Linked DNA regions of Drosophila melanogaster. Changing the gene in region 1 together with any one later gene gives a genetic interaction. Each region holds a gene or a part of one and is shown on either strand. Other genes may lie near its edges.

What was found.
Region 2: of Lmx1a (region 1) and eya, changing one suppresses a phenotype caused by changing the other (phenotypic suppression), as found in Drosophila melanogaster (one study listed by BioGRID).

What each region holds. Positions count from the first base shown.
Region 1 is NT_037436.4:12,318,878-12,337,206, forward strand, and holds Lmx1a (LIM homeobox transcription factor 1 alpha), read left to right. Parts: upstream 1-10,354; 5' UTR 10,355-10,592; coding exon 10,593-11,376; intron 11,377-15,329; coding exon 15,330-16,208; intron 16,209-16,282; coding exon 16,283-16,542; 3' UTR 16,543-17,024; downstream 17,025-18,329. Other genes in the region: CG10418 (uncharacterized protein), read left to right, coding at 17,838-17,840, 17,902-17,969, 18,033-18,249.
Region 2 is NT_033779.5:6,529,242-6,544,265, reverse strand, and holds the start of eya (eyes absent), read left to right. Parts: upstream 1-8,154; 5' UTR 8,155-8,365; coding exon 8,366-8,437; intron 8,438-11,313; coding exon 11,314-11,360; intron 11,361-13,756; exon of another isoform or gene 13,757-13,843; intron 13,844-13,936; coding exon 13,937-15,024. UniProt on the Drosophila melanogaster protein: Tyrosine phosphatase thought to play a role in transcription regulation during organogenesis through its intrinsic protein phosphatase activity. The phosphatase activity was shown in vitro. Appears to function together with So and Dac in eye development.

The DNA.
Region 1 (18,329 bases):
ATGTCCTTGTGCAAACTTCCCGCACTTTGTCGTCGATGCTTTCGTTTTTGTTGTCGCCTGTCGCTGGTCTTTTATCGTTTCCTTGTCGTCCTCGTCGTCATCCTGCCAGCGTATCCTTGCTCCTTTTGTTTGTGCTCGACTCCTTTTTCTTATTTCTCTTGCGGCTGCGCCAGTAGTTTGGCTGGTTTTTTCAGCGTTTCCGTTTTTTAATAAGTTTTGGAATCTTGAAAATCAATTTTGGTAAAGCGATGGGACACTTTTTTGGTGGTCTGCTGGGTAATTTTTGCAGTTAGCTTTCAACTATCACTAACTTGAAGCAGCAACCTTTCTAGATTAGCTTGTATAATAAATTAAATGTGCAGTACAAGTTTTATCAAAACCGGTTCGATTATATCCCGTCTAAAAATCAAAAAGGTTCTTTCAAAAATCATTTCTTCTTATAACTCATCATAAGTGCGATTTGCAAATGAATACAAATTCGTGGAGTGGCTGTTGCATAATGCCATTGTGGCATTGTCTAATCGCGGTTCCCTCACGATTCCATTTCCCACATCCTCGATGACTGGAGCACTTGTTCTCAAGGACCTTCGAGGACTACACATGTCAGTCCCGCGCAACTTGAACTCTTGATTAGCTCTTTGCATTTTTTATCGCTGCGATCGGCACCATCTACACCATCCGCTCAATCGAGCATCGAGTGGCGGGTATCTATATCAATACTGCTTTATTCGAGTCCATATCTATGCAGTGATATCGCCCAATAAAAAACTCCCAGGGGCAGGCAAACACACTCGAAACGTGGCAGCGCGTGTCGCTACTTAATTGTTAAACATTTTGTAACATTTCGCCGAGATTAGCATCGCAAAAAGCGAAAAATCCAGAGGGGAGTTTTAAGCGAAAGCGGGGTGTGGTCTTCGCAAGTCAAACAGGTCCTCACAATGGCACTGGCTTGGGTACTGGGAATTTGGAATGGAACTGCGATGCGGATCCGAATCCTCAGCCGCGGGTTGTTTGTTTGTTGCTGCTGCTGCGATTGTGATGCGCGGATAATCTCCGGCTAGGCACGTGGGCACTCTGTTTGTTTATTTGTTCGCCGGACTGGCTGCCCAGGCGGAGCGCCTCCTCACTTCTCGATTTTGTGATTTCCCGATTTTTATGGTGCCCACGATTGGAAAGGTGTAACATGTTAAAGGCAACAACCGGCAACAAGGAGCGCGTGCTCGGGACACGCGGCACAGATTTTTCACATGGATAAGCTTGCTGCCTTTGCTGTTGCACAATTTCCCATTTCTTGTTTCCATTTCGGAGGTCTAAACTTTGCGAAGAAGGTCTAAACTGGAATCTGACAGTGGGGACTTGCTATGGTTTCATTAAACCATATCATTGTTTATCTGATTTAACAACAAATTAGATTTATTTGATTATGAGTTCAATTGAATCATCTTGGTTTGCATGGTAAATATGTATATTTGGCGTACCAAACTAAGAAAGAAACATTATCTTTTAATTTGTAAATGTTCGCAACATTAAGTTCCACATGGAATGAAAAAAGTACAAATATTTCAGTGATCAGCTGAATAAAAATAAAATAATATATTTTACGTATCTTAGAATAGTTTAGATACTGCGCTTGAAGTTTATGTATCTAGACCTCTTATTTAAAACTACTAAATGAAATACAATAAAATTATTCCTTCACTGATGAAAATAAATACTTTACTTTATGATAGGTTCTCATTTAACTAGCCACTGTATCAATTTTCGGTTGGTAGTTGGTAGCCATTTGGCTAAACCTTTTGGCATGTCCCTATGACCATTACTGTGTTGCTTTTGTGGATGTAGCGCCTTGTTCGTATCGCTTTGCTGGTGTGTGTGTGTGACCACTATTGCTGCTCTGCCATTTTGGCCAGCGGACTTTTTTCCTTCTAATATTTTTGGCGACTGCTGCCGCTTTTGGCGCAGCCATTTTGTGTTGGATCCCCGCCCCCTTTGGGGGAACTTTGTCTACCGCCCTTCGCTTTGGCACTCGACTCGGATCGAGTCGCTAGCATTTTTCGCTGGCATCGCATTTTTTCGTCCTGCTCCTTTTTGCCACTATCCTGGTGCTGCCAAAAACCATATCCTGTGCGCTATTTGCTTTCCTCGATTTCTATTTGCGCCCCAGGCGGTCGTGTGTTGGTGTGTGTGTGCTGTTGTGCTTGAGTGTGTGTGTTAGCCAGTAGTGAGCGTGTGTGCCAGAGTATTTCTAAGTATGCCGGGCATGTAGCTTTTGGTATTTATGACTATTGTCGGAAAGCAAATATTTGTCTGCAGCGCATAAAAACAACAGTTAAACGAACGGGCTACGTATACGGAATATGTATGAGATGGAGCCTTGCAGTGTGTGCTCGTATGTGTTTGAGTGTGTGTGTTGGCCATGTATTGGTATTTTTTCTGGCCATTTCGCCATCGCTTTCTTTTGCACTGAGAATAATAATAAAAACAACTCCAACAACCACAACAAGTGGTAACAACGGCCAACGGAAAACTACTACTACCGAATGTGACGTCGTTGGTTGGGTATTTTTCCCTTTTTTTTTATGTTTATTCACTCTTGGTCAGAATTTTTATGCTTTTGGATTTTCATGCTGACCTCAAGCTGGTTTTGTTCCTATAAAAGTCGCCTAGCTAGCCGTATTGGCCATAATTGCAGAGCACCAGACGGCTTGGTCAGGAGTTGCAAATACTACAAGATTGGGTGACCATCCACTCTAGGTTTTGGAGTATGGCATACCAAAAGTATAAAAAACCTATCCCAAAGATGCATCGGCATTCTATTTAAATTATGCATATTTTAAGGGATCTACTTGCAGCTTAAGGTATGATTTCTATTCACGTTTACATAACGTAATATTGATCTTGATAGTGCAGTTCCTTAAAAAATATATACAGTCTTGAAATATTGTAATTTGCATTTATCATATTGCTAAATCCATTTAGTAGTAGTTTGAACATTCACAGGATTGCCAGTCATATCTCTCATCTGAAAAGATCATGCCACCCATGGTCAAAGGGATTGTTTTGAGAAACGTGCCCCCGCTACTTCCCTCCACATTGATGCCACACTAAACAAACCTCGAAATCGTTCCCATGGGCCGAATCACACACATTCGGGTACAGATTGAAATGACAACTTTTAGTATCTGAGATTGGCCATGAAGTACGGTTAACGGCTGGGCGGACACAGATGCGATTCGTATCCGAATTCGTAGCCGTATGAAGGCAATTTGTGTAAATATTGAAACGTTTGAGCTGCGAACGAGTCGCAATCAGAGATTGTGCGGCTGATTGGAGTTGCCAAACTAAACGGCCGAATAGGGCGACGTTTTTGGGGGAGGATTGGGCTGTGAAACTTTCAAAATTACCCTCCTGTTTGCCAACGCTCCCATTAATCCCAAAGCGATATAAACTATTTACCCAAAGCGAGTGAATTGTATAGCACTAGATTTTCCCACTCGTAAGTAGATAACCTCTGTCAATGGAAAATTGAAAGTGATAGAAAGTCACACCAATTCATGGGCACATCTAATGACTGACCACTGACCCAAGAAATGCGCAAAATTCAAATATTTTTCAAATTAAACTTAAAACACTTTGCGCCCAGCCCAAATTTGTTGTTCTCCGCTTTTTGGCATAAACGCTTTTTACACTTGACTTCAAATCGCTCAAAGGACGCGTTTTATGCGTTTGCGTTTTGGCCAGAAACGAGATAAAAAATCCACAAAAAAATAGAACCAGTATCAGGAAGAGAGAACGCAAGGAGATCCAAAGAGTGGGTGGCCAAAGTGGGGGGCTGGAGGGCATTTGTCGGGTTACGCATCAAAGCGCCCGTATGAAAAATGGCCAAAGCGCGATACGCCAAATTGAAAGCAAGAAAAATATGGCTGAAATGTTGTTTTTTCAAACGGCCAACTGGCTGCCCATGATGCTGCTGCTCCGCTCCAGCATTTCGCAAGGGAGGGAATGGGGTTGGGGATAGGAACTGGGGGGTGATGGTGACGATGATGGCGATGATGCCAAGCCTGCAACTGATGATGGCGCCCTGCCAATGATGAATGCGTCCAAAAGCCCGTTCGCGCTCACATTCCGCGTTCTCAACGCAAATGAAATTGGAAAATGTTCTGGCAAGCAAAAAGAAAATTCTGCCCCACCATCGGTAGGGGGTGGTAGTTGGGTGAAGGGCGAGGGGCAGTCCTGCTGGATCGGCGACTAGCAAAATGAAAAATAGTCAAGCAGAAGCAGCACGCAAACAATTTGCGGGACCATCGATTCAGCTGAGAACAGTGCTCTCAATTGATTTAATTTTTAATTATTTTTAGAAAAAGTTCATAATAATCCCTATCTAATTTGATGAGATTTTCAGTTTTATAGATAATTGTTTAGTAATTTAGCCAAATATGTTAATTAATAATAGCTCGTTTAAAAACAAGATAATCTTCTTATAATCTTCACTTTTAATGTGCAGAAAACTGTGAAGTTTTAGTTTTTGTGGGTGTAATTCAATACGAAGTAAGGAACTGATGTAATCAATACTTTGAAGTGTATTATAAATATTTCTACTTTTATGACCTAACAAAAAAGTTAGAACATAATAATTACATTTCATAAAAATACAAATTTTTTTTAATTTCAATATATTTGTTTCATAAAATTTAGAAGTCACAGTGCCCGACTGCTATTGACGTTGGCCATTTGGAAATATAAGTTTTATGGCTTATGCTGGGCGGCTCTAAACACGCGTATGAAAAGCGCACCAGCCCTGTCAGCCCCATCCACCTTTCACCATCCCCACCCGCCCTGCTGATGCCCCGCCCCCTGACCTTTGACCAGCCCCCAAAATCTGGAAATCTCCGGCGTAGCCGGTCACTGGCAGCTGAGCAATTTATTGCCGCTCCAGCGAACGCCAAATGAATATTGGTTTCGGTTTGGCCAACTGGTGGGGTTCTATTTGATTTTGGCTTTAGCGTATTGCCAATATTTGTATTTGTCTTTGGCGTTTGTCGTTGCCCGAAAACTTCAAAGTATCATTTTCATTTTGATAGCCCACGATGAGGGAGGGCAACAGACGAGAAGGCCCACAGGCGCTTAAATATTTGGGTAAAAGAGAGTTGGGAATCAGGCCGGGAATTGGAACCTCACTTTGGCCGCCGATGGGAGTTTGCAGAATTCAAAAATTTCACACCATCTCACAACTGTTTGTTTTTGCGCTGGAATGCAGTTCGAATGTTATTGCAGAGTGAATGTTTTTCTGACTCACACTCACAATTCCCAGCCTCATTAAAACGAAGCCAGAGTTTCGTATAAACATCTTCTGCAGTCGTTTGATTCCCGATTATAAACAATGCCTGCGAGCAAAATCCAAAAGACAAATAAACCACAATGGCCAATAATAAACGGAGAATCAGTGGGATTCATCATGGTAATTATACAGGGATTTGGATTTGAGCAGCTTGGACTGTTGGCTGTGGGGCTATATCAAACAGCACTAAAATTGACATTGAACAAACATGGAATATTATTCGAAAAGACAGACGATATTCAAAACTAAATTGAGCACATGCTGCGCCCCTTCACAGTCCCAGACTCCACTTGAGCTCTGACTTATGCGTCTCAGGTCCATTTTTGGCCTGCCTGAGTCCCCCCATGCCAGCGTGTCCTTCAGGTCCTGCATGTCCCTGTTATGAGTGAGGCGAGACTACATGTCTGTCAGAGAGTCCCGAACCCGAACTCTCAACTGGAATCCGGGGGTTAGAGGCTGGATGTGGATATGAATGTGGGTGCGGGCGAAGGTTGTTGACACAGATCGGCGCACCAGGCACAAAGTTATTGGGTTGTGATCCACTGAAAAAAAAAGCGAAATGAGTTTTTCTAATACAATTGTGTGCGGTTTAAAGGACATAAAGGCTTGCTAAATCTTTTCAAATACCATGCCCATCCATGATAATTAAATTGAAGTATAGTTTGACCTTAGATATATGTGTAATCTTCAATAAGCATATAAAATAGGGCTTCAAGAAGTCTGTAGAAGATTCAAAAAAGTAGCAAGATACTGCTTAATATGTAAGTTACATTTTTTATTTTGCAGTGCATTCGAACTGCAGCGAGTTGAGAGCGAAATCTAAACATCTGCAAAATTACGCGCATAAATCCTTTAACACTTTTCCTTCGGCCTGGACACTAGACAACCCATTGTTGGGGTTGCATTTGCCACGCGGGGCACCGTCAAATTAGCCCACTTCAGGGTCGATCCCGCTGCGTGTCCTCTGCGCGCTCTCTCCCTCTCCTCCATCGCCCAGGACTCCTTTCTCGTGGCGGGTGCAGTGCAGCATATCTCAGACCCATTGTTTACACACTTCATATTCGGTGGAGGGAGTGGATACACATTAAATAAATAGTATGGTATTTTTAAAACAAACTAAATTGTATTTTATGCCTCATCTTCCTGCTTATAAAATGTGCTTTAAATCTATTAAGTACCCTATGAATCCCCAGATTCAAATTGAATTCAAGTCATCGCAATATTTTCGCTGCGTGTAGTAGGCGCGTGTAGTGTTGACAGTTTGCGCAGCATCTTAGTGTCTGTTGAGCAGCTGCCGAGATGTTCTTCTCTTGGCTGGGATGCCAATGAATATGCCTAGGTCCTGCGGAACCTACCCAAACTCCGAGTGGCGAGCCTTGCCAAAACAAACAATGACACCACCCGCTCCATCTGGGCGCTTTCCCCTTGACTGGACGCCAATAGTCGAGCTGTTGAGTTAGAGTAAATGTTTCCATCTAATGACCCCTATCCCGAACTCCTAACCCATGCTGCCTCTGCTGCTGGGATGGTGGTCCTGCCTGCCTAGAGGTCCTAAGGCATATTTTCAAGGAGTCTTGTGCGGTTCCTTCGGCTGGATTTTCTTTCTTGCCGCACGGCCACTTACCACTTACCACTTACCACTTTCCAATGCCAATGTCTGTGCCTCTTTAGCGCTTATCATGCTCAAATGGTAATTGAAGGGCCATAGAAGAACTATTTATCCTGAGGCTTCCGAGCGTGCTCTCCTCGATGTTGTTGCTGTTGTTCTTGTGGTTATTCAATATAACTCACTCGTTTGCCATTGATAAAAGGAGCAGTAGGCAGGGGGAGAGGTGAGCGGTACATGCACACAATGGATGCATTGAACCCAAACCCGAATCAGAATCTAAATGCCAACTCAAACCCAAAATAAAAGCAACCCGAGGAGCATTACTACCCTTTGCCATTTGTTTTCGGATGTTTTATTAAATTTGTTTCCAGTGCCCTGATATCATCATCCCCAGTTGGAAATCCTGTTTGCCGTCGAGTTTTATGACAATTTCCACTTTTTGCCATTGTCGTTTTTGTCAGCCGACTTCGAACTTATCGAGTGCATAATGTTGTCATCATTATTATGACGATTAGTGGATGGGTTTTAGGTTTTGGGTTTTGTATTTGGCTTGGCGCACAGTCGCCAGTTTGCCAGTTGTCAAGGTTAATTGAATTTTCGCTTAGCCTCGTTTTCCCTGTTGCCATCTAGTTGATATGGCAGGGCATATACATATATAAGCCAACTACTCGTGACTATCTTTATTGGGGGGGCACCAGTAAACCATAATTTCGTCACAGCAGTGGCCAGGATACTAGTGGTGGGATGGCCCTGGCCATTAACCTTATCTCCAAGCGATCCCCCGTTCCAATGGCTTTTACTGCCAAGGATTAATTATGCACACGCCTCCGAATTTTTGGTCTATTGCCGTCATAAAGTCAGTCAGTTCGGACTGTTGGACTTTGGACGAATACAATTGAGTGATTGCCGTGAAATGGCCGTAAATGTTTTATTTGCCTATCGGTGGATGGCGTTCTCTGATGACATTTTACGTTATCATAGAGAATTACCTATTGTACCTTATTGTATTAATTGCCTTAATAATTGGATAGCAATTTTAAATTTGGCATATTTATTTTTTGTTTAAAGGTTTTCGAATTTATTGGATCATATTAACCTTTAATATTTCTTTTCCAACGACTTTGTTTTTCCCCTATTTCCTTGCTACCGTTTGATGCCAACGATTGGGATTCAGATCTCGTTAGCTGCCCTCCTAAACTTCTAATAATTACTTTAAATTCAGCGCACACTTGGCAGCGACTTTGTTTTGTGGATACGAAACGGAAAGCATTCCCTTCAGATTGAGGGAAATTCGTGCAGCAGCAGAAGCAGATACTTTTCGCCGCCTTTGTTATAATTCCGCAGCAAGTGCGCACATTGCTGCTGCTGCTGCTGCTGCTGCTTCGGTGGCCTTTGTGCCAGTTGAATTCGGTAAATAAAGTTTTCAAAGTTGCACAAACTGGCAGCAACAACAATCCACAGAGGTGAAGTGAACCGAAGCGACTGGAAAGCGGGAAAAACAGGGCGAAAAAGCAGCAAGCAATGCCGATTCCTTGTACAAGTGCCGCTGCTCGATGCCAACAAGTTTGGTGAAAAGTCTCCCACTTGGCCAACTGGCAACCAACGGCTGCTCCCCCTGCGTCTGCTTCCCCAGGTATCCATGCTAAGCTACGGAGCACATATCCAGCGTAGGCGACTCCTTGGTTCACAACTTCCACGCCGGTCGGCAGCCCGCTGAGCCAAAGCCTAGTCTTAAGCCGAGGCCCAAACATCAAGTTACTGCCAGGCGATGGTGTGGTGGCCCAAAAGGGGGCCAAGAATTCGAGCTTCGACTCCAGAAGTAGCGCCAAACTTTTATGCACAGCACCATGTTTGGTTTGTCTTTCCAGCTTCCGCTTTTCTTCTTGCCGCTCGGGTTTCTCTTTTCCTTCATCCTTTCTCATCCTCGGTGATAGTATCTGTGCTTCAGTGTGTGCGTGTTTGCGGGGGCGGATAGTTGGGTTTCGGCCTCTTTGGGGGCGCCGGAAATGGGGCTGCCTCCCAGTTGTCGGTGGGCTTTTGATGCTCATACAGGGTGACATTGCCACTTCCGCTTTAAATCGCTGGAAATTAGAGGGGTATGAGCATTGAAAACTTAATAAATCTTAAATCTTGCTTAAAAGCAACTTTTATTTAATTTAAAGATATTATCGGAATAAGAATTCTATAAATGTAATTTCATAAAAGAAACTTATTTTTATGAAGTCTTACAACTTTGAAAACTGCTTAAAAAAGATTGATTTTGAAAAGAAATAAATAAACATCTTTTCTCTTTGAGTAACTACAATAAATAATGTCTTGAATCAATTATAAAGAGATTATACTTCAGTTTTACTAAGTTCTTTAATAATACTATAGTCACAGACTTAATCTTCACTTTTACAGTAGACATAATAACATTAATGGAATAAAATGTATGGAAATCATTATCCAGAATTCAAAACTAGTTCATTTAAATTTTAAGAATCCTTTAAGAATTTCAAAAAACTTTTGTTGTGAGACATTAGGTCCTTAAATAACCTGCCCAATGTATTGAGAAGCACCCGTTCCCATCTTGTTTATCGCCAACTTTTTTCACCCGCAAAAAGTAAAATGCAAGTGCAAAAAAGCGTAAAAGAAGACAAGGCCATTGTTTTTTTCTGCCTCTACTGCTGCCACTGCTGTGTTTGTTGCCTTTGTTGTTGCTGGCATTCTGGTCCAGTCGTGCCACTCAAAGAGCCAACAGCAGCAGCAGCAACAACTCAAGGAAATTGTCGCCGTCGAGCGGCAAACTCGCCAAAGTTGCCGCGAGTGCAAGTGCAAGTATGTCTTTGTGCCCCATCAGCAGCAGCAGCAGCGGCAGCAACACCAGCAACAACCAGCAACATGCAGCTGCCGCACGCCCACCGATGGCCGCCCACAAGCCGACTTGGTCTTGCATTAAAGCCAAGACATCTACGAATATGAGAAAACCAAATATAAAAAAAAACAAAAGAAAAGAAAACCCGCACTTCCCCTGCGCACATGCGCCGTGCGGCAAAATGGACGCCGGGGAAATGGCCAGCCAATCGCAGCGAGGCTGAGGTGTGGCCAGCGATTTGCGAGGGACTTGCTCTCTGCCAGAATTTCCCTCGCTGCTAATAATCACTTGAGACATGCGCACTGCCGGGGCAGAGAGGGGGTTGCTGCAACCCTTGCACCGATACAACCCCTGGCATCACGTGCAACACGAAGAGCTGCTGTTGTTGCCGCAGGCCAAGCGGCAGTTGTTGCTCCGCAGCTCCGTTGCTCCGTCGCTCCGTTGCTTTTGTAAACAGGCGCAGGCGCAGTGCGCGGGGGTACGTTTCAGCTGGGATTTTTTTTTTTTTTTGTGAGGGCAAAGTGAAATGCTTTGATTTCGCTGATGGTTCGATCACACGCCAACTGACAGCGAACGCGGCTGGTTGTCCTCGCATTCGGCAGCGCAAGAATAGGCCACCGAAATCATATTCTAAACGAAACTGAACAGAAGCGTAGTTAAAGTTAAAGCAAAAGCAATCGAGCGTCTTGTTTGTGTGTCGCGTGTTCCTTGTGCGGTGTTGCATGTGACATTTTCGTAGACTCGAAACTAAAAAAGTAACAGCGGTGTTTTGTGGCAACTCGTATACGATGCTGGAGTTCTACCCAATGCCCACGAATCTGAATCCAGTCGGTGGCAGTTTGTACTCGCTGCAGCAGAATCATGGCGGCGCGCGATTCCTGGACAATCCAAATCCCGGCAGCATGACTGCCAGCAGCGGCAACTCCCTGCATCTTAGCAATAGCAACAACAATCTGCCAACAAGCATTTCCGGCAACAATAGTCCCACGGCAACGGCTTCATTAACGGGGCAGCATCAGCAGCACCAGCAGCAGCAACATCAGCAGCAGCAGCAACACCCCCACCAGCAACATCAGCAACACCAGCAGCAACACGCTGCCTCGACCACGCCAGTGCCAATTAACAGCTGCCCCACGCCCACAGGACACAGCCCCCTCAGCAGCAGCAGCAGCAACAGCAACCACAACAATAACAACAACAACAACAACGGGGGCAGCAGCAGCAACAACCTCCACTCAGCCTGCAACACATTAACAGCTGCTGCTGTTGCCGCTGCCTCTGCCGCTGCTGTGGCAGCTCCATCGCCAGCAGGCACCTCAGTAGCCACCTCGCAATTAGGCGGAGCAGTTGCTGCGGCGATTGCTGCTGCTGCTGCGGCGGCTGCCGCTGCGACGACACCCACATCGACGGGCCCAGCGGCCACAGGAAGCGGAAATGCAAATGGCAGTGGCAACGGAAACGGAAATGGCAATGGCAATGGAAACGGGAATGGAAATGGGAATGGAGGTGGTGCAGCAACGGCATCGGCAGCAGCGGCATCCAAATTGTCTGCCGATTGCAGCGGACGCACAGGTATGTTCCAAAAGTATTTTGCACCGGCAGTCGAGCAATTTACCGGCTCGTTCCTCTTCTGGGGTTTTCACGCTTTTCGTTTTTGGCATACTTGCGTGTGCCCGGCCTGCGGGTCCGTTTCTGTATCCGCATCAGCATCCGTATCCGTGTCCAGGTTCGGTGCTGCGCTGCGTGAGTTCCAAGCTGGTCGGACGAGGCTCCAGATTGTGTACAACCACCCACACCTGAGTATGCCGGCAGTTTGCGTGCGATGTGCTCGGCTTTTTGGGGCCCAAGGAATGCTTCTCTAGGGGAAAATATATAGATATTCGTTGTTTTTTCTTGCGAATAAAGTTGAAGTGCTTATTTCAAAAGGTGTTTACTCCTGAAACTTTTCTTTAAGCGGAATATTTCAGCATTTATTGATTGCAGTAAAAATTAGCGTATATATTCATAACATTAAAATAATATAAGAGAAAAGTATTCTTCATATTAATTAGCCTAAAATCAAAAGTAAATAATAATTTAAAAAACATTAAATAAGAATGTTCTTATTTGTTACTAGTTTGCTTTTAGTTTGCAGAATGCAAGTAAAGTCAATTTGGTTAGATATATCATAGGTTTTGTTAATTATTATTGTATCAATATTAGCATAAATCCATGTTTAACTTGGAACTTAATTGCAACTCAGCTTTCAAAGAGTTGGATTTACTTTTTAGCAAGTGAAATAGCCAGAGGCAGATTGTCCACTTATGTAAAAACAGGCAAAAGCAAATGCACAATTTCCGGCTAACACGTACATATATATTGACAGAGGACAATAAATTATGAATTTGTAGTTGTGATGGCGCACACATGTTGTGGATAGTTCAGTGGGCGGATGTGCGGCAAGCATGGCGAAAGTATTTCCAAAAGTATGAACGCAAGTTGACCACAAAATAATTTTGACAATGAACCTGTCTGACATCCGCCCGGCACGGCCAAAAAGAGGCGTGGCTCGACCAATAAAAGGCTATTAAAGCATGCCACACACTGCCTCCCTCCCACACACACACACACACACACACTGATGCTTTGGCATGCAGGCACACATACACACACACTCGCATGCATGACAGCCTCAAAATAGGCAACACTTTTCAGCTGAGTTGCAACGAAAGTGTTGCTGGGGAAAACTTTTGCGAATTTCCCTCCGAAATGCAAAGTGTGCAAACAATGTGTGTGATGCATATGCAGACCAGACCTCGTCCGAGGCTAAGTGGATTGTGTTTTCGGTTTTTTAGTGCCCCTCATCCGCCCACTCAATCGCCCACAATAGCTGTGCTCTCTTGCCGGCCAACTTTGCATTTGCCTATGAAATTTCTATTAATGCTCGCATTCTGCCATTTGCTATTTGCCATTTGCCATTGCCCAAATGGCAGCAAATAGTTTCCGTTTCCGCTCGTTCCGTGCCACTACCCCAATCCACACACCACTCCCCGCCTCTCATCCTAAGCTCCATTTTCCTCGGCAAACACTTGGATGCCGGCTGCTAAACTACTATCGGTGGCCCACACTTTGCAGAGGTCGAGGAATTTCGAATGGGCTGCCATTGGGGGTGGTGTGCACTCGGGGGCAGACCACGGAAATGAGCACACTCAGTGTCAGGTATTCCACCGAGCGTATCAGCATACATATTTGGCTTCTGCGGTGGCTCCAGCTTCGTCTTCCTGTCCTACCCACAAACCCCACCCACCCAATCGCCAGTAGGTGTGCATTTGTGTGGCGGAAGTATGCGCCATACGCATAGTTCTGTGTCACTTTCCGTTGAGATCCAGCTACACTGAAACAAAACTGCTATTCAAGAACTATACGGAAAATCCACTGGAACTCACAAAGAGTACTACATTTGAGTTTAGAATGCAAAAGTCAATATATTTTGCAATCCCTATTTGTAATTTGATTAAATCTGTATCTTACATTTTAAAAGAGTAGTTTTTGAAGTTCATCCTATTTTATTCATTATTTTATATTATGATTAATACCATTTCCATGGTGTAGATAGCAACGAAGAGTTTTAAAGACCCTGTTTGTTTGTCAGTCGAAATGAAAGCTGTCGAATTATGAGCTGCCTGTCAACGATGAACTGCTGCCAAAATCCGCGTGGCACGTGGACTGGACTCCAGTTAGTGGCCGAATTAGTGCCAGAAGTTGGGTGCTGTCTGCCGATTTATCTCCATATAACCCCGCCCCGCTGTCAATGTGTCAATAAATGCACCATATAGTGCGACAATCGTGGGGCGTTCGGGCAGATAAGCCCCTTTATCGGCGATAACGACGAGGACACTTTTCTCTATTAGTTCTATGTTTATCGTCGAGTTGATTTTGGATTTATCTGCTGTTTAATCTATGTATTTGACATGAGTGTGCCGCACTTGTTCCGACTGTTTGCGCTTGTTGTTTGTTGATTTTTGGACAAGTTTCGCCCAGGCTTTACCATTCAAGCCCAAAAACACACACTCACTCAATGCAGAGTCCTTTGTTGGCCAAAACAATACAGAGAAATCGGAAAAAAAGCATACATAAAACTGCAGTAAAATGCCATAAATTTCGATTAGATTACACAAACGAAATCCCGTCACAATATCGATGCTCAAAGCTCTACAAAAACATGAGGCCAAACTCAAAACGCAGCTCCCCTCTGGGGTTTATCAAATGAATCATTCTTGATTTTTTGCTCGGCCCATGCAAAAACCTTTATCGCCAATGCGATTGGATATGGATACTGCACAATAGGATGAAATGCAAGCCAAAAAACAGAAAAAAAAGGAAAATAGGAAAATGCCCGAGGACATTGTCAACTTTCCGCTGCACTGGCTTAGCGCCCCCTTACATAGGGATTTTCGTCCCTATTCCCAGACTATATATCACCCATACAGCCACATTCGCGTAGATATGGCGACTGTGTGCGTTTGTGTGTGTGGGGAGGCCATTGTGCCAACCATAAATCATGCACATTTTTCTGCCACTGAGCCACAGCCATATAATATAACACTCCACTTCCATTGCCAGTTTCCCTCCGCACTTTTTCTCCACTTTCCCTCCGCACTTTCCCAACTCGCTGCTCATTTTTCAAATGCTTCCATACATTTTTCGTGGCGGTCGTCATATATTTTTTATGTTTACTGCATGCAGCTTTTGTTGTGTTTTTCGGGTACTACTTTTTATGACTGGTTTACAGTTTCAAGAGCTCCGTCTACGGGAGGATTAGGTTCGTTCTACTTTGGGTAAGGCGAGCTGAAATCCAGTAGCTCCTCAATGGGAGATTAGCATTTTTTAAGGGACTTTGTTTAGGAGTTAAGCTTTGGCTTAAGTTCGGTGGTATATACAATATCAATTGAGCCATTTTCTGGCATGTTTATATACATTGATAATCGAGATGGGGGGCTGTTCAATAATACCGAACAAATACGGAAAACTTTACGTTTCAATTACGCATCAATAAGCTTTCAATACAAGCTGTTGCAGTCCGACGACAGATAATTTTTTCCAGCGAAGAGTTTTCCTTCTGTTTTTCCATCGAAAGTGCGAAACAGCGAACGGAAAAACAAGAGAGACGTTGAAGCATTTTCACACGATTCGATTGTCAGCGCGCTCCTTGCTCCATTGGCAGCACATGTCATGATAATTTCGCAGCGACATGTGCCGCCATCACGTATACGCCACGTACGCCCATCACAGTAGGGCGAATAAGCGGAGTTACACTGGAACAAAATTACTAAAGTATTAGGATTCTTCTTTGAAATATTTCTGTTCTCAAGAAAATGTTTCATATATATTTTCCAAGTATGGGTTAAATATTCGATTAAATTGATTATTAATGTAGATAGATATATTTATTATATTTTAAACCTCAGTGTATTAGTTACTTGAAATGTATTCTGCGACTTACTAACGCGACTTTTTTCCCCCATCTTTGCTTGTTTCATCCCCAGAAGTGGGCCACATCAAGTGCGAGAAGAACTTCGAGCTGTGCGAGGGCTGTGGCCAGAAGATCCATGACCGATTCCTGATGAACGTGGGCGATGCCAACTGGCACGAGCAGTGCCTGGCCTGCTGCTACTGCGGAATGCAGCTGCACCACACCTGCTACGTGCGCAACTCGAAACTCTATTGCAAGATGGACTACGACCGGCTGTTCGGTGTGAAGTGCTCCTCCTGCTGCCATGCGATCCTGCCGCAGGAGCTGGTAATGCGACCCATACCGAACTTTGTCTTCCACCTGCCCTGCTTCGTTTGCTACGCCTGCCGATTGCCGCTCCAGAAGGGCGAGCAGTTCATGCTGCGCGATGGCCAGCTCTTCTGCTATCGTCACGATCTGGAGAAGGAGATGTTTCTGGCAGCCGCTGCTGCTCAGCACTGTGGGTTCGTTGGCCTGGACGAGGAGGATTTGCTGAGGCCACGGGATGGAAGGAGAGGTCCGAAACGACCACGCACCATCCTCACATCGCAGCAGCGCAAACAGTTTAAGGCCTCCTTCGATCAGTCACCCAAACCATGTCGCAAAGTGCGCGAAGCCCTGGCCAAGGACACCGGCCTATCGGTTCGTGTAGTGCAGGTGTGGTTCCAAAATCAGCGCGCCAAGATGAAGAAGATTCAGCGCAAGGCCAAGCAGAATGGTGGCTCCGGCGGAGGATCGGGCAGTGGGCGTGGCACGGGCAATTCCAGCGCCACCGACGATAAGGACACCAATGACAAGGAGGACAAGTGCGTCAAGCAGGAGCTCGGAGGAGATAGCTCCGGTTATTTGGGTGGATTGGACAGCACTTTCGCCAGCCAGCCGCTGAATCCCAATTTGCCCTTCTCACCGGATGGTAAGTGGTTCGATTTGAAGTTTGATTTCGTCCAAGCATTATTCTACAAGTACTAATGGCTTGCTTTTCAACAGACTATCCGGCCAACTCGAATGACAGCTTCTGCAGCTCGGACCTCTCGCTGGATGGGAGCAACTTTGACCAGTTGGATGACGATGCGGACTCGCTGTCGCTGAACAACCTGGAGCTGCAGTCCACCAGCTCGTCGGGCAACCAGCACTCGCACTCCCACTCGAATCCCCACGACATGCTGGCCAACCTGAACAACAGCCTGATAAACCCCATCGACAAGCTGTATCTCATGCAGAACTCGTACTTCAGCTCGGAGCATTAGATGGCCATTGGCTGGAATGACAGGGAAGCACCGAGGCGATCGTGGGATAGAGACGAATTTATTAGCGTTAGAGTGGCAGGATCCGATGGAAAAGGGACGCGAGGTCCTTGCTGTTACTTTAAAACGTAGCGCGTAGTTGGCACCTTCCGCATTCGGCGCATTAAGTTGGAGTCGTAGAACCGGATACAAGATACATCAAATGTGATTTTTTTAAGCTAATTGAAATTTTAAGATTCTTGGCGATTTGAAGGCGCAGAAAAACGGGGCGGGCAGCACATCTTTTTGTTGGTATAGACTCTAGAGGCAAACCAAAAAAAAAAATGTATAACTCCTTGAGAAATGGCAAAGTGGTCAATGCGCCCTCTTATGTTTGTAAATAGTTTTAACCACCCGAGAAAATTGTTATTAAATGTAATTTAAAAGTCAATAATTGTATTAGCAAGTGCAATTTAATCTGTTCCCCTAAAATATACATCTTAACCGAATTCTTGCAAATGTCTGTGGATCTTATCTTCGAATTAACGGATGCGTTCAATATTTTAAATGGGTTGGGATTGACTTGCGATTGTTAATATTTTTATTTCGCATGATTTTCCTTTATTTCTTATTTTTTATCCTTCGTCTTTTATCGGTAATATCGTCTCTTATTTTAAAAAATTAATTTTTTTTTTATATAATTGTAAGAATATTTATTTATTTATTTCGTATTTATTTACACAGCCTAATTTATTTTAAATTTTTTATTTGCCGTATTATCGAAAAATCCATTTAAGATGCGTTGATGCTTGATAATAAATAAAGAGCACAATAACTAAAAAGAAAACTTATTGCGTTTACTGTATTTACTCGACTGCGAATATATACACCTTTTTTTTGTGAATACTATGAATGCCTTAGTAAAGCTTCATAAATTGACCGAAATATATTATTTAAAAACCATATTTTTTTGCCCGCCAAAATGCTGCCCGTACAAAGCTGGCTTTTATGAAACTCGACCAATAGCGACGACAAAGCGTTGCCACATGGATAGAAATAATTAACAGATGGCAGCTCAGCTACTGCTTAATTCCTTTTAAGCCACACAGTTTAAAGATTTAATATACATTAATTTTTGATCAAATTTTATGAAAGTAATATTTATAAGCCAAATGTTAATAGAATATCGTTACTCACAATCACACATGAAATGTATCGATATGTATTTTTTAAAACAGCGATCGATAGTTTTTTATTTTTACAGTGCACATCTCTAAAAAAAAACAACGCGTTCGTCGAAATTGCAATAAACAATAACAATGGTACAAAACCGAAATAACTGTGAATTTAAGAATTAACATTAACGCTTTATGTAATCTGCAGCTCTTTTACTCCTTCTTCAAGTCGCTGGTGGGCAAGGAAGTCGTTGTGGAGTTGAAAAACGACCTCAGGTGAGATTCGTTTATTTGCCGGTAAATTGAGGAATTTTTAATACTTTCTTTATAATTAAACAGCATATGTGGCACCCTGCACTCGGTGGATCAGTACCTGAACATCAAGCTGACGGATATCAGTGTCACAGATCCGGACAAGTACCCCCACATGCTGAGCGTCAAGAACTGCTTCATCCGTGGCTCCGTGGTGCGATACGTGCAGCTGCCGGGCGACGAGGTGGACACCCAGCTGCTCCAGGATGCGGCGCGAAAGGAGGCTGTTGTGAGCACAAGATAAGAATACCACTACCAGCAGCCCAATTGGATCTACCCATTGCTTCGTAAACTGTCCTAAAAACCTAAGTGAAATTCTGTTAA
Region 2 (15,024 bases), on another chromosome or scaffold:
ATAAATTTGCATGCATCATTCTTGAATTACAGCACTGGAAAAAGGGCGAGAAATGGAGAGGGTAGGAGGAGGAGGAGGCGGTTTATCCCTTAGGCTCCTGCTCGAAGGACCTGCTTTTTGTTCCAGTTTCACCAGAGGCTCGCATAATCCGCTCAACTGGCGACGCTGCTTAGTCCTTTTATCCTGTTTTATGTCGCCTGTCAGCAGATGAAGACGTGGAACGGAAAATTAGAGCAACCTGCCTGATGGATGGATAAATGTCCCTTCCTTTCCGCTGGATTCCGATCCTAATGCCCTCTAATGATTACAAATATTTGTACCTTGCTGTGGCCATTTTAAGAGGGATTTGCTTTGTCTGCTCTCTCCAGCCTTGTGACTCATTGTTGTCTCCTGGTCTAAATTTGAATGGTGGCAGATACAGAAATAGCCCAGTCAAATGCGAAACGTCTGTACGCAATCAATTGTCACTTTCGACAGCATATTTTGAGCCAACGTGCGTCTATAGATAGCCATCACTACACTAAATATAGTGCCCAACTCTTTCCTGGCCACCAATTTGGTGAATAATTTGGAATAGATCACCAAAACATTGACAGTGGGGCAACATCTAATGGTTGTCAATTAGAGCTAAACATCATTGTTGAATAAGTAAAATGAATTACAAGGGGATTTGCCAATAAAAACGGTTTAGCTTAACTTTAAACTATGACAAACTATTTGTCTCAAATCCCCCTTTTCAAATTCACAGCTTACTTTTGAGAAGCTTCTTGAAAGCGTCTTTCAGCCCGTTTGTGGCTAAATCGAGAAGTATTATTCGTAGAACCACCATGTGATGGAGCAATACACCTCAGTAGCGACACGGACACGCATCTGTCACATCAAAAGCCGCGGGCATCTTACAACGCTCCGGTAATTGGTGGGGCCGGATCCGGGTCTGAGTCTTTTTCCGTGGCTGCCTTCGCTTACAGGAATTCTTGGTAAAATCGAAGGGAAAAATAGATGCGAACGGGAGCCAAACAAATGAGCGAAAGTGCGACGAAATGAACTTGTCATAATTATTTGACAGTCAGGGTAAGTGGGATGCTGACTCTGCCCAGCGGCACATTAACCAAAAATTGATGTAAAACATTTTGCCGATGGGAAAGGGGTGCCATCGCCATTGGCATCGGCATCGGATTCGGTTCACTTTGATTCCACGTTTCGGTGTCACTGCCAGCGGGTTGCGGGGTCAAGTGGTCGCAGCCTGTGAAAACAAAACTTGCGCCTCATTTCCGGTTCAATCAAGTGGCAGACAGCTTGGAGCATGATAAGACTCCTGCCGGCGACTGTGACTCTCTGCGCCCGGTTTACTTAGGTGTGGCTGTTGTCAGTCAAAGGCGCAGACAGCCAGCTGCCCTCCTTGTAACCCCATCCCATTCCAAGCGATCCCATCCCACCCAAAGCCCCTACCAATTAAGCGGTTTTTTCCGAGACAAATTTGTGCGACCTTTGACTTTACGGAGCGAAATGAGAGGAACGGGGATAGCATTACTCGTTAGCAGTCGTGACAGTTTTTCTTAGATTTTTTCATAATTTTACCACGAATTTTTTCCTCGCCTGGCCTCGTCCCCAGCAATTTTCCAGGCAGTCTCACACAAAAAAAAAAAAATATGAAAAAAAAATATCAGATTTCCTCGTTGCACATTTTTTCCATCCATTCTTCGGGGCTTGGGAAAGTGCAGCAGCAGTAGCAGCCTCCGAAATCCGGACAATTGGCAGCCAAAATGCCAACAAACAAATCATTCACATTTCGTCCATTGATTGGCGAGGCGGTAAAGCGAAATTCGATATTCGGGATCGTCTGGATGGTCCGGAGGGAGGGAGGAGAGAGGTGGTAGATGAAAGTGCTGGCAGGGATGCAGCGGCAAGGGTCCAGGGGCTTAGATCCCGGCACCATCCTCCGATTTCCATAGGGTTTCCGCACCGATTCCGGTTCGATTCCCAGTGACGAGCGCACCTGTTCCTCCACCGCCGCGAAAGTTGTCCCATCAACAGTTGGTCGCACAATTCAGCTTTACGCTCTTCCAACCAAACGGGTAATACTATACGTATTTCCCTCAATTCGGTCCGGCCTTGCCGCTCTATTTTCGACGTTATTAAGTTTAACGGAAATAATCAACTATTTGCCATTTTTTATACCCATTTATAATAGTTAGAATTTCCACAATTGTCGAACGGCTGCCGCGCAAAAGTTACAATAAATGTGGCCAAGGTCTGAGTGATGAAAATGATACGCGGCAACTTTAGGGCTGCCACATATGGTGTAAGTGTAACTGATAGTTCAGCAGGGTATTCGGTTGCCGTTTACCATTTTACCAGATACCAGTTGCCCAAGTCCAAGTGTTGCACAGTTGGCACAGTTTGCGGTGCGCCATCAGCCGCAGTGTGGAATCTCTGCCTTAAACTCGGTAGATTCATCGCAGAAATTAACTTAAAGATTATTTTATTAAGGGATGAAATAGAAAGGCTAACAATACTGAGAAAAAAAAGAGTTATTCATTTATTTTCCCAAAAGTACCCTGTAATCCGAAAGACATCGTTAGCGCTCGCCCAATCTCAACTCAACTTTATAATTTACAATACTGTCTTTCCTTCAACTTAATTATTACAAGAATGAAAGGGTTGAAGCGCAACTCAAAGGGTTAACAAGCAACTTCTTCAGCAGATATACTCAAAGGGTTAGCAAGGCGAACTTCTTTAAGGGTTGTTCCTCACCTAGCAATCAAAAGTTTTTAATTAACAAACAATGCAACCGATTTTCCGAAAAAGTAGTGTAAATAATTTGCAATGATTTTTTAACCCAAAAGGAAGTTTTCATTGAACCCGATCCGTGACATCTTGAGAATAGGTCAACATTGTTGTTTAATTAGAAGACAATAGCTGTCAATAGCTTATTCCGGACAGTCAGGATTCCGGCTCACCATGAAGGGAGTTGGGCCGGAGTCAAAGGTTGTTGGCTAATTGCAAGGCGGGGTTCTTGTTTTTTTTTTTTTTCTTTTCGTTTGGCGAGGGGTTGGCGAATGTACTGGCTGGTACCAACGGCAGGACAGCCAGCTGTGAAAAAATCTTATCCACACTCGATCTTAATGACTACTTAAACAGCGACAAAGCCAACGCCCAACCCCACTCAATCCCCGGGTTGCAACCCCCTGTTCCGGGATCCAGATCGGCTCAAGTGCGGCACTTGAGGCAGCTGTTTGGCACTCGGGATGACTTTAATTTAAGCCCTGGGGTGCCATATATATGGAAACCTCAACATTAATAAGTGTTAATAATTGTGCGTAAGCGTGTGTGTGTGTGTTTTTTTTTCCAACTGCGTTGACACGCCCCCAACCTCCCGAAAGCAAGTCTATAATTTCACATCACTTTCGCCACTGTTTTTGTGGGGGAGTGATGGGCGGCTGGTTGGGAGGACAGAACCGAGCCGGCGAACTGAGACCGAGTTAGAAAGTCCGTCCAGAGGAGCGTAACATGGATAGGGCATGGGTATTGGATTACCAGCGTCCCATGGCATTCGAATCCACCTCCGTGTCGGGCGGCGTCGTCCTCCTCCTCCTCCTGCTGACTCCGGAATACGGATGGTTATGGCAACGGACGGATCAGCAACCGAAACAGCATCCCTGGGGGTCTCCAATGATTTGTTGTTGCCCGCGGACAAGTTTACAAATTCAATTTGTCAGCGATGCCTTAATGTTGTTGTTTTCCGGACGGGGCGAGTGGTTGCAAGCACCATTTCATAGGCCTGGCAACGGTTAACCCAAGAAACAACGCAGCCAAATTGGCGGAACGTGCGAAGGGCGTCGACTACAGCATACCCAGTAAGCTGGATTCTGTGATCCCTAGGGCAGCATACAAAAGACGAACTTATCTAGTACATAAATAAAAGATTTAAGAACGCATTTGATTTAATTTGAGAGTTTTAGAAGATTATCATATACCCTGGAGCTTACTAACAATACTTTTTTAGTTTATAATTTATAATTCAATTCAATATATCAACAGGAAGAAATCTGTCACTACTTATCTGCCTTGGGTACCATTGTAAAATGCTAGCGATATTGTGCTGGCATGCCAAAGCCACCCCTAGTCGAGCACACCCTCTTACCCGATACCCTGTGTTACCCACCCGGTAAAAGCATATGTTTCCATTGCATACTTGAGGGCGCATTTGATTAGAGCCCACCGAGGCGTGAGTATTTAATTTTGTTGTTCGTTGTTGGGTCGCTGCGCGTTTTGACACGCGCTAGTCGAGAGCACGTAATTAAATTAATTAGAGAGCCGTTCCCACAGGTAAACCTCCACATCCACCCACTCACCCATCCACCACAATTCGCTTCGGTCCAATCCAATCCATTCTGCCACCATTCTGCTATTCTGTACTTCTGCCGTTCTGCGGCAGTTTTGATGCTCATTTGCAGTGACAGGCGACACACTTCGCTCGGTGGGTGGCCCAGTCGGCGGCAGGTTGATGGGTGGTGGGCTGGGTGGCGTTGTGCGCCGGTTGCCAGGAGAACACACACATAGAAGCTGCTCGGCTTTGGGCTTCGGCTTTACCTTTTAATGAAATTCCTAACCAATGTTTGCTTCGCCTCGGTCACTATGGCGATTCACATCCTACTCCGTTCCATTCTCCACCTCCTCCTGACCCCCATCAGATGTGCATACTTATGTACATATACGTATCAGTCGGAGATCGGCACGTGCCTGGAACTGAAACACAGGTTCCGCATAATTTTTCCCAAGAATGAAAGCATAAACGAACCGTTTCTCGCCGACCCTGGTGGCCATAATAATCGGCTCAATCATAATGAACTGGATGCCTCATTCTGGTGCAAGTGCAATTCCCGACTCGGTTTATTTTTGTATTCATTGTTTTTTTGTTTTGCTTTTTATCGGGTGTATCAAGACCCAGCCAAACGCCCACATACTCGTAGACCACTGACCAAGTCTTTGTTTAGCTTTGCCATCCGATCGACGGCTCCCTCTGGCCTTGTTGATTTATAAAATCCAAGTTTATGTTCATATTTTTTATAGAGCCAGCACAGTAGTTCGTTTTAATGATCTTCGACCCATAAAATGGCCTGTCAAAATTATATATTCGGCTAATGCGCCTTGTGCTCAGTTGTATAGGAAACACGATTTTTGTGTGATTTACGATCGATTTGAGGCGAGTCGATTCGATTGATATGGGATCCCTGCTGCAACAGCTGATCGTCTGGAGTTACCCTATAAATATTTGTACAAGTGGGAAATGTGTTTTCCATAGGAAATGCAATACCTTCAGATTGGCTGTTGACTTTTCCATTTATTTCGCAAGTTTCTGTGGAAATAAACGAGTGACAAGCGGACCAAGGAAAGTTCAGTGCGCTTTTGTCTATGAAGCGTTTTAATTACCAAGCCGTTTCATTCAAGATTTTTAGGAATTGAAATCCCATGTGCAGTTCCCCTTCGGAAGACCAGCTACAAAACGAAAAAACCCCAATCCAGAAATCTGCATACCAAACCTCTTCTGGGCATTACTTCATGCAAATATCGCTGCAATTTTTAGCTCCATGGCCTGCGCTTTTTATCGTTTTGTTCTCTATTTTATAATATATGCGGTCAGATCTCCATGGCTCAGCAACATTTTTTTCGAGGGGCAGAACGATGAATGCCTCAGACGCTTGGCATGTGCTGACAAATGTGAAACTTCCCTAATCAGCATGGCATGGAAGAACTGACCCAATTCGTGGGCTCGCCAATCGAATGACGCATTCCTCGACGACTTTTGAACCGGAGAACCTGAGCTGCGTCGCGAAGGGGGTGGAGGGGCAGGCCACACTGGGCATCCAACCAAATGACAACGGACAAGCAATTCAATGTCCCAATGCTGGCGTAGCCAAATCCAAGTCCTTATCTAGATGTCCGGCGAACAGTCGCCCAGATCAAGTTGTAAGAATGCGAACATGGCAACAAATGTGCTCGACTCAGGTGTTAAAACTTTTGCATTAAAATGGCGCCCAACGCGGAACGGACACAGGCCTCTCGATCCCAAACCATGTGGCCCCCACTTCCTTTGGCTGTGTAAAATTAATACTACACTCGGGGAGGTCCAGCCCGATCAAAACTGAACGTAAATCTTAAACACTTTCGAGTTCTACCCTGCCCCCGTGCGATTCTCTGATTCTCCGATTCACCGACTCCCTGATTCTCCATTGTGCAGCAGGCTTTTGCAGTCGCACGATCAGCACGTTCAGTTCCGAGGGGATCTGCTGCTTCAAGGGGGAAACTGGGATGCTGGATGGTGGATGGTGGATGGTCGACGATCGGCAACCGGTCCACGACAAATGTGCCAGTCTCAGCAACAAGCCAGGCCGCAGAAATATCTGCAAATGCAGCGAATTGTGCGCAGATTTGTTTACAGAAGACTCTCCGAGTGGCAAACTGAGGGAAGACGGATTATCGTGGAGGGAGGAGCACCATGATCATCGTAGATATAATTGACGACATGTTGTCTCACGATCGTGCTAAAGCGATTAAAGCTAATTTAATGCCCGACTCGGAGATTCACTGCACCCAAAATGTATCCACCAAGAAGTGCACTCCCTCACTTTGAGGTCATGCTCGATTTTCTCTGTGGAAAGCCTTAACAAAATGCCATAATCAAATTTCTAGCTTCACTTTTGTTATTTCTTGTGGCTGAATTTGTTGTGGGATCGAATGGGCTCATTGTCGGAATTCCATTGCAATTCTATTGCATGTGTGCATGTCGCCTATTTACTTAAATGCACTTGTTTCACTTGCTCACTTGTAATTACATCCAGGCTTTTAAGTCAGTCTCTGTTGGGCCAAAAATCAAGTGTTGAATCAACATGAATTGTTTAGCACACGATTCAATTGTTTCGTCTCGACGGAGACGTATAAATAAATAAATACGAGACGGCCATGAAATATATATTTATTAGAATAAAAAATGTTAACCGCTATCGGTTTATGACAACTGTTTGTTTAATTGTAAAATATATATTCAGGAGAGGTTTAAAAGATATTTTACAAGTTGCCTACCTTAAAGCTTAACTCTTTTACTAGAATTTCATTTGGATGAAGTTTCAACACACTTTAAAATTTATGTGCTCAGTAATTTGCCAGAGCTGCCCCAATCAACATCAATTGGCTGCCATACTGTCTGAGCATTCTAATTCATTTAATCGAGCTCATTAGTGGCTCTAAACCATCATGTTTATGCTACCCAATTACCATCGGAAGTGATTCACTTCTGCATGGACGGAGAGATAGCCCTGTGATTTTGATTAGATGCCAATTTGTTTATGGCACTCACTAATCCGTCCACAGATCGGATATCCCATATACCATATACCATTTGCCATATTCCATATACCATGTCCCGTATCGGTTTGATTATGCCCAGCACACTTCGGCTCGTCTTACATGAGCATTTCGATTTTTGGGAGCTCCTTCTCTAATGCGTTACGGATCCATCGAACCCAATAAGTTTTAGGCGTTTTAAATTACCCGATATTCGCGTTGCGCGTTTTACGATTGCCATTAAATTTGCTGGCGGTTACCATTGAACAGGCCGAGAAACTCCAACTGATTAGCTTATTAATTTGTTTTATGTGCTCGAATGGTGGCGGAGTTGTTTCGAATTAATTTATTAATTTATGCGCATAGGAAAACCAACTTTTCAGTTGGCGTTCGCCCAGCGGCAAAATCTCATTCACAATGGGCATTGTTCGCCCGCATCCGAGAGATACTTACCAAAAAAAAAAACTAACATAATACAGAGAAAGAAACAACAAACTTTGAGGAAAAGTGGTTTTCGACCCACCCCTGTGCGATATTCTTGGCCCTTCGATTTGGGGAATGGGAATGGGCGGAGTCTAGGCGCATTCTCTGGCCGGCGGAGGGAGCGAGAGAGGCTGCTCCGAGTGCGCACCGCTCACACGAACTCGTTTCGAGTGCCGAGATACATTTAGCCGGTACGAATACGAATCCAAATAATCCGAGCCAGGGATTTCCACTCAAGCAGCGCCGCTGCCGCTTCGCTGCCGGCGTCGCATTGAGCCACAAAAGTCGGCTGTTTCGGTGGTTCAGTCGATTCGAGCCACTCAAAGCGAGCGCTACGGGAACGGTCGATCCGCCCGAAGTCGCAGATAAAAAACCTACCAGATACATTTCGTTCGTTCTGAAACGCTATAACTAAATATATATTCGATTTCAAAACATCGACCATACATTAACTACCTGAAACGGTCGAGTTCACTACCCCGCCACGCGTGTGTGTTTTTGTGTGTGTTGCAAGTGAAAGTAATCGCAAGTCCACAGAATGGTCACCCTAATGCCATACAACTACGCTGCCCCGCGATGCGGATTAATTGACAAAATGATCGAGCCAAAGGTAATCACATAGTCGTAGTGCTCTCCTCGCGAAGCTTTAAAAGTGATGTGGTTGAGATGGCTGTGCCGTCGGTTATTACTATTACTAGTATTGCTAGTGTTATGACTATGATGACGGCGGTAGCTTCCTTGGTGGTTGCGCCTTGTGGGGCTTCACCTAGTCGGGGAGTAGTATCCAAAAAGTGAAACTCCATGGCGAGATAACGCTTCGACTCTCATTTATCAAGCCTGGATGGAGTCTAATATATGTACGAACAACAGTTTAGGATGCTTTAAGCTGATCTATTGGTCGGTGTGATATCATAGCACACTTCATATATAAATCTAGTCCAGCTTGACAACTAAGTCGTGTTCAGATGCTATTCGATTTCATAAATCTAAGCGAATAAGTCGTGCAAATACACTCGAAGAAATACAATTTCATTGGGTTGCTTGAAAATGTATGGAATGTTACTCATTCACAGAGGATTATCAATTTTATAGACCCATCCTGCGAAGAAAAGCGCTTTAATGACTGCTCATTGTTGGGAAATCGTTAATGGGGATAAAGATTATGGGCACCTGACCAAAATTTTATTACAACGCATTAATCGGCTTAACTTTTGGCTGTGGGGTAATGAAGCAAACAAGTTGAGTCCCAAAAGGTCATTAAAAACGCTTAATAAAGTGCCGAAATAGTGACAAACGTTTTTCCAATTCGCTGCTGATGCATTTCTCCCATCAAATTACCAAAGCCTTTTCATTCACTGCACGCTTGCGATGCAAAGTCTGGCCGAGATTAGCGTAAAGTTCGTTTCCCGACGATTTAATGGAACGGCATTCTCCAGGCTTTTATGGGTCCCTAAACTACGGCTAAGACAAAGTCGGATCGAAGGAAACGTGACGAACGTGGAGTGGCCGGATGGCCGGATGGTTAAGGCGAAATATTAATAGAGCATAAATTACAGCTCTAGTGGGTCTCTGGGTGCCGGCTTTATGGGAATTTAAAGAGCCTGGCCCACAAAAGCCAGAGCTGGGCTACGGCATTCGTCCAGCGGCATTAATCACATTTTAATTAAGTTTAAGCCGTAATCGTAAAAATTAACACGCCATAATTCAACTGCGACAATACGCGCTGCATGTAATTTATGACAAAGAGAATTCACATCGGTGTGCGTGTGTGCGAGTGTGTGGGGGGGGGGGGGGCGGTGGAGGAGTCGAAATATTGATTATGGCCACTGCGATTGACACTTGGCGATTGTTGATTATACTACCACGATCGTGGCCCAAAACGTAATTAACGTGCCAAAGTGTTAAGGTGCATGGGATAGGTCCCATGCCATAGCAGCCCCTTCCTTCGATTCCACTTCGTCCACCAGAAGATACAAATTTTCCTCTTGTTTATTTTGATTTTTATCGCGGGGACTCGAGGGGGACTCAAGGGGGCTCAAGGGGTTTGTAGGGGTCTTCGGGGTCTTAGGGCCGGGTTAATAAAAAATTTGTCGCCGTCTTCTTGTCTTGTCTTTTGTTTGCCTGCCTTTTTGTGACCGAGTGTGTGTGTTTTAATCTTCTTCTAAAGCAGCAGAAGAGACAAAGAGATTACGATCACAGGAATTTCGTTAAAGATGCCCACAAACAGGTCTTTATACCACATATCTCCCACTCTTTTCCGCAGCTGGAACCAACCAAGCCGGCCCAACCAAAACCCCCCCAGATACTGATTCGAGTGTTGTCTGTGTTAATGTTTACGTTGTCAGCTTGTGCCATAAATTAGTTTAGTAAAAGGTTGCATTTGACTCTTCCCTTTCCCCCCCCCCTTTTTTTTGTTGGCCCCTCACCAGCTCACTTTTGCATACAACTTCGGACTCGAATTCGGTTGCTCGTGCAGCACGCAATCCTGCAGAATTCGCGACCCGAGATCGCAACTCCAATGCGCAGCTCATCGAAACGCTACCGTTCGGCAATCTGTCCGCTTGTCCGCCGCTGCGCATGCGCGTGTTCCCTTGGTCCGTCGACAAATCTGAGCAAACTGCGTCCTGCTGCCCCCCACCAGATCACCGGATGATGGACAGTGCGTGCGTGTGGTCATCTCGCCGGACGGCAGAAGCTGTCAACCGAAGCCGCTCAGCTTTCGCTCCCTTCCCGCCCTTCTTTTTTTGTTTTTTTTTTTTTTTGTTTTGAGGGACTTCTTTAGGGGTGGAGAGGCGCACAAATTCCAGCACCTGGGCTTGCCGCGCCCCTTAGTCCGCCTTCGATTTATCTGGCTTCCGTTCGATTTGCATACATGTCTTCTTAAGGGGCGTTTTTTTTTGACCATTTGTCAAAATCATTCTGGCAAAAGCTGAATTGTCAAAGCTTTATAAATATAAAACATAGTAAGTGGATGTAAAGGACGTTCTATTGTATGCCTAGAGACACAATCTTTCCTCGAAAGTCTGTATAGTTAAATGTCATCTTTGTTCCATCTAGCCATTTTGCATCCTTATCGAAATCCGCTGCCACCTGCTGCTTTTCCGAGCACTACCACCTCCCCCCCCCCCTTTCCGACTTCCCCTCCAAATGGCGCCGCACATCCGAGTAACAGTTGAGTTAAACTTTTTCCCACGCACAAGCTCGGGCAGCGAAAATCGCTTGGCGCAGCAGCAAATGGCGATTGCGAATTATGTAAAATTTGCTGTTTTCTTTCGCCACTCGCACTGGATAACCCAAATAGAGTTTCAGGCGGTGGAAGTGCCGAGCTCAGCAGGGCGATTCCACGCCAGACGCTGAGGTGTGAGTGCGTCCGCCTTGTTTATAAACAAATTCTTTCCAGGGCCGGCGAAAATCCAAAAAATTCACAAAAATTAACATTCAGTATAAGTATATATTTTAATGTGATTTTCTTCACTTTTTTTTCAGGTTAAACGTCCCAAGACAGACCACACGGATACACATGAACGCAACCGGTAGGTTCAAATAAAATAAAATATATATAAATATACTTATTCATAAACATGTAATTTAGGTACTTTTATGAAATAGATTTCTTAAAAGTGTAATATGTTCTAACTAAAACACATATAGGGGAAATAATAGTTTGCATATATTTATAGGTTGAAACCTAAATTATGAGTCTTTTACCAACTTGCTTCCCAGGATCCTGAAGAAAAAGGTTTCCCTCTCTGTAAGCGTAGACAATTTGTAGCAGAACGGCGAGAACATCCTAACACTTGACAAGAGGCTCACCATTTTCAATTGGTTTCGATTGAAAAGTGGCCATGGTCGGATCGTCGTAAGGGAAGGGAAGTGCACATTTTGCATGTGGTCCACACAACCTGCCACATGCCCCGGCAGAAATTCAAGGAATTCGGTGCACGCTTCCGCTGCGACACTGAAGCGAACCCAAGACCGAAATCCAAAATCCAAAAACCGAAATCCGAAAAACAAAAAGAACCGAAAAGTGTCAGGGCACTTAACACTTGCCAAGGGGCATGGTGGACATCGTAGGGACACGAGGCGGTGCAGGGCCAACTACTTAAAAGAGGCTTAAAGGCGGCAACAGTTGCGGCTTAGTGCTAAAGACCTCTCAACCTCCCTCTTCGATAATTTCTATTATAATATTCGTAAATCTCCCATTGGTCAGCCCATATTGTGAGGAGAGCAGATCTCAAAGCCAAAGTTTGGGTTGGGTTTCCTCCCTCCATTTGGCGCACGCGTCGTTCTGCGCTGGGAAAATGATTTTCCCCCTTTCACCAGCTGCTCCCCTTTTACCATTTTCCCTCTTGTTGTGGCTGCCAGCAAGATAAATGTGGCCCCTTTCCAGCCGAGCGAAAGAATCTCAAGGTGTCAGATTCCTTTGGAAATTGGGCACTTAATTTACCTTCCTATTAAAATTATGAAAAATTGTTAAATATTTTCCAAGCCTTATGGGGGGATGGGGGGAAATCGTAGGCGGAAAAAGTGGAAATATGGTATACGGTATAGTCGAAGGAAGAAAGTGAGGCAGATAAATCATTTGAGTAGAGAGTAATTTAAAATAATTATCCTCCATAGGGAAATAACGCGGTGTTTAAATGATTTTATCTTGCTACTTTAAGATAGAAAATATGGGATTTAATTTGCCAGCTGATTGTAAAAAACTCATCTTAATTGCATCGAAAAGGATTGAATTTCTCCCCCAATTTGTCTCCATTTTTCCCCCAAAATATCGAAAAGCCTTTTCTTTGTTTTCATTTTCCCGTAGCTCTGATTTATTTGACTTTCGACTGCTGCTCAGTTTTATTTGATTTTTAGTGAGCCCTCGTAGATTTTCCAATTTGTCCACTTTAATAATGTCCTACTCGAAAAGCAATAACATCAGAGTAACAGAACAGAAAAAAAAACATCAAAACACAAATCGTTAAATATATGTATATAAAAGAAATATTTGTCGCTCAACATTTGCTGCACACATGGCCATGGCAAGGGAATGGGGGGGGGGATGGGTCAGGACTTGTCCGGGACACTCCGCACATGCCACCAAAAGGCGGACCCAGCGATCCGCTCAAGTGCCCCGCACCGATTCCAAGCGATTCCTCTTCGAGATCCCAGTAAACAACCCGAACAAATCCAGCAACAGGAAGAGGGAAAGAGAACGGCCAGATCGTAGAAAAATATTTATAACACTTGACAAGATTTGGAAGACCTCTTCGCTCGGGTCTTCGACGGGGAAGCACTTGACTTGGTCCAAGTGGCCCGAAGGGGATCGGGGAATGGGCAACCGAGAGCAGAACGACTACGTGCCGTTAATTTAATGGTTGTTTAAAGATTATTGGAAACTATTTTATGTGTTTCCTTAACGAGCAAAAGGTTCTGTGTTTCGGTTCTCCTCCACACAAAGAAAAAATCCTCATGTGTGTTTTGTGTACTATTTTATACTCAATCCTCAGTCGGCCTATTAATAATTACAAATCGTCTTGAAGTCGCTTGAAATTCATCAGTTTCCAATATTGAAGATATAATTACATATTTCTAGCTTTATTTTAGAGTATTAAAAGGGAATCATAATTTAATAATTTGTAATTTAATAACTAGTTCGCTTCGGGCTTTAGCTATTTATAAGCACAATTAAGCTGTAAGTACACGTTTTATTAAACAAATGAGCCTAAAATAAATACTTTGATTTAGCCGCCACCTTTTTGATGGCATATATAAATTAAATTAACCGGTTTTAATATAAATACCTCGATTGATATAATGCAGTCCCAGTGACTCGGTTATTACATTAGTCATGTTCGCCGCCTAAGGATATATTTCATTTGCTAAGAACTCGTTTTTAAATATTCATAAGCATAAATTGTAGAAATTATATAGTCAAGTTCGATTTAAATATCAAATGTGACATTACAATTTAAGTATTTCAGCTTTTGTTATTTGTGAATGAATTGTTTACATTTAAAACGGCTTAAAGGTCTGTGTTTCATTGTATATTCCCACACTTGACACCACCACCCCATTAATTGGCTCACCCACTTATGACGCCTCTCATCTTATCTTCTTGCAGCCTCTGCAATCTGTCACAGCAGCAGCAGCAACAGCAACCCCAGCAGCAACAGACGCATCAGCAGCAACAACAGCAGCAGCAGCAATCCCATCAGCAATCCCATTCCAGCACCGTGTTGGCCAGCAATGGACCCAGTAGCGCCGGTGCCGGCATGGGTGTCGGTGTGGGCGGAGGCGGTGGCAGTGGAGGAGGAGTAGGAGGCGGAGTTGGCCAGTGCAGTCCGCTGGGACTGCCGCCGCAGAGCCAGCCGCTCCAGCCGACAATAGGATCGCTGGCCTCGCTGAGCGGTCACTACTCGAACGGTAATGCCAATCCGAATGTGAACTCGAGCAGCTGCAGTCTGGCCACAGCATCCAGTTTTGCGCAGTCCGCCGGCAGCAGTTTCTCCACATATCAACAGGCTGGTGGCACCAGCGGTGGAGTTTCTGGCGAGGATGGCGTGGTGGGCGGAGCAACTGTGATGTCGCACTGGACGCACGATGGCACTGGCTCGAGTGCAGCGGTCAAGTCGGAGTCCCGCAGCCCGGGCCAAGTGCACGCATCGCTGGACAACGGCTCGGTGGCCGGATCCAATTTGTACGGCTGCAGCTCGGCCAGCAATCCGCTGGACGGAGGAGCAGTGGCGGTCAACTCTTCGGCAGTGGCAGCGGCAGCAGCAGCGGTCTACGACGGCAAACATGACTACTACTACTACAACAGCATGCAGCAGTACACGCCGCCGCCCTTCTACTCCGGATACGGAACTCCTTATGCGGCGGCAACGGCGGCACGGCAGGCCAAGATGGAACCCGGAGCGGCAGCTGCGGCGGCTGCCTACTTGACGCCCAGCTATGCCGCCAGCGGCAACAACAACTCGCAGCTGTACAGCAGTCCGTACGCCGGCTACAACAACTTCGGGCAGCAGGACTACGGCGGCTACTACAACGAGCAGTACGGCAACTATTACAGTCCGGCCAACTACTCACCGTATGCGGTCAGCTCGCCCAGCTCGAGTGCGAGTCATGGACATGGCTTCCATGTGGCGGCCTCCTCGAATCTCTCCGAGAGTCCCACGGACACCCACTCGACGACGCCGGTGCACCAGACCA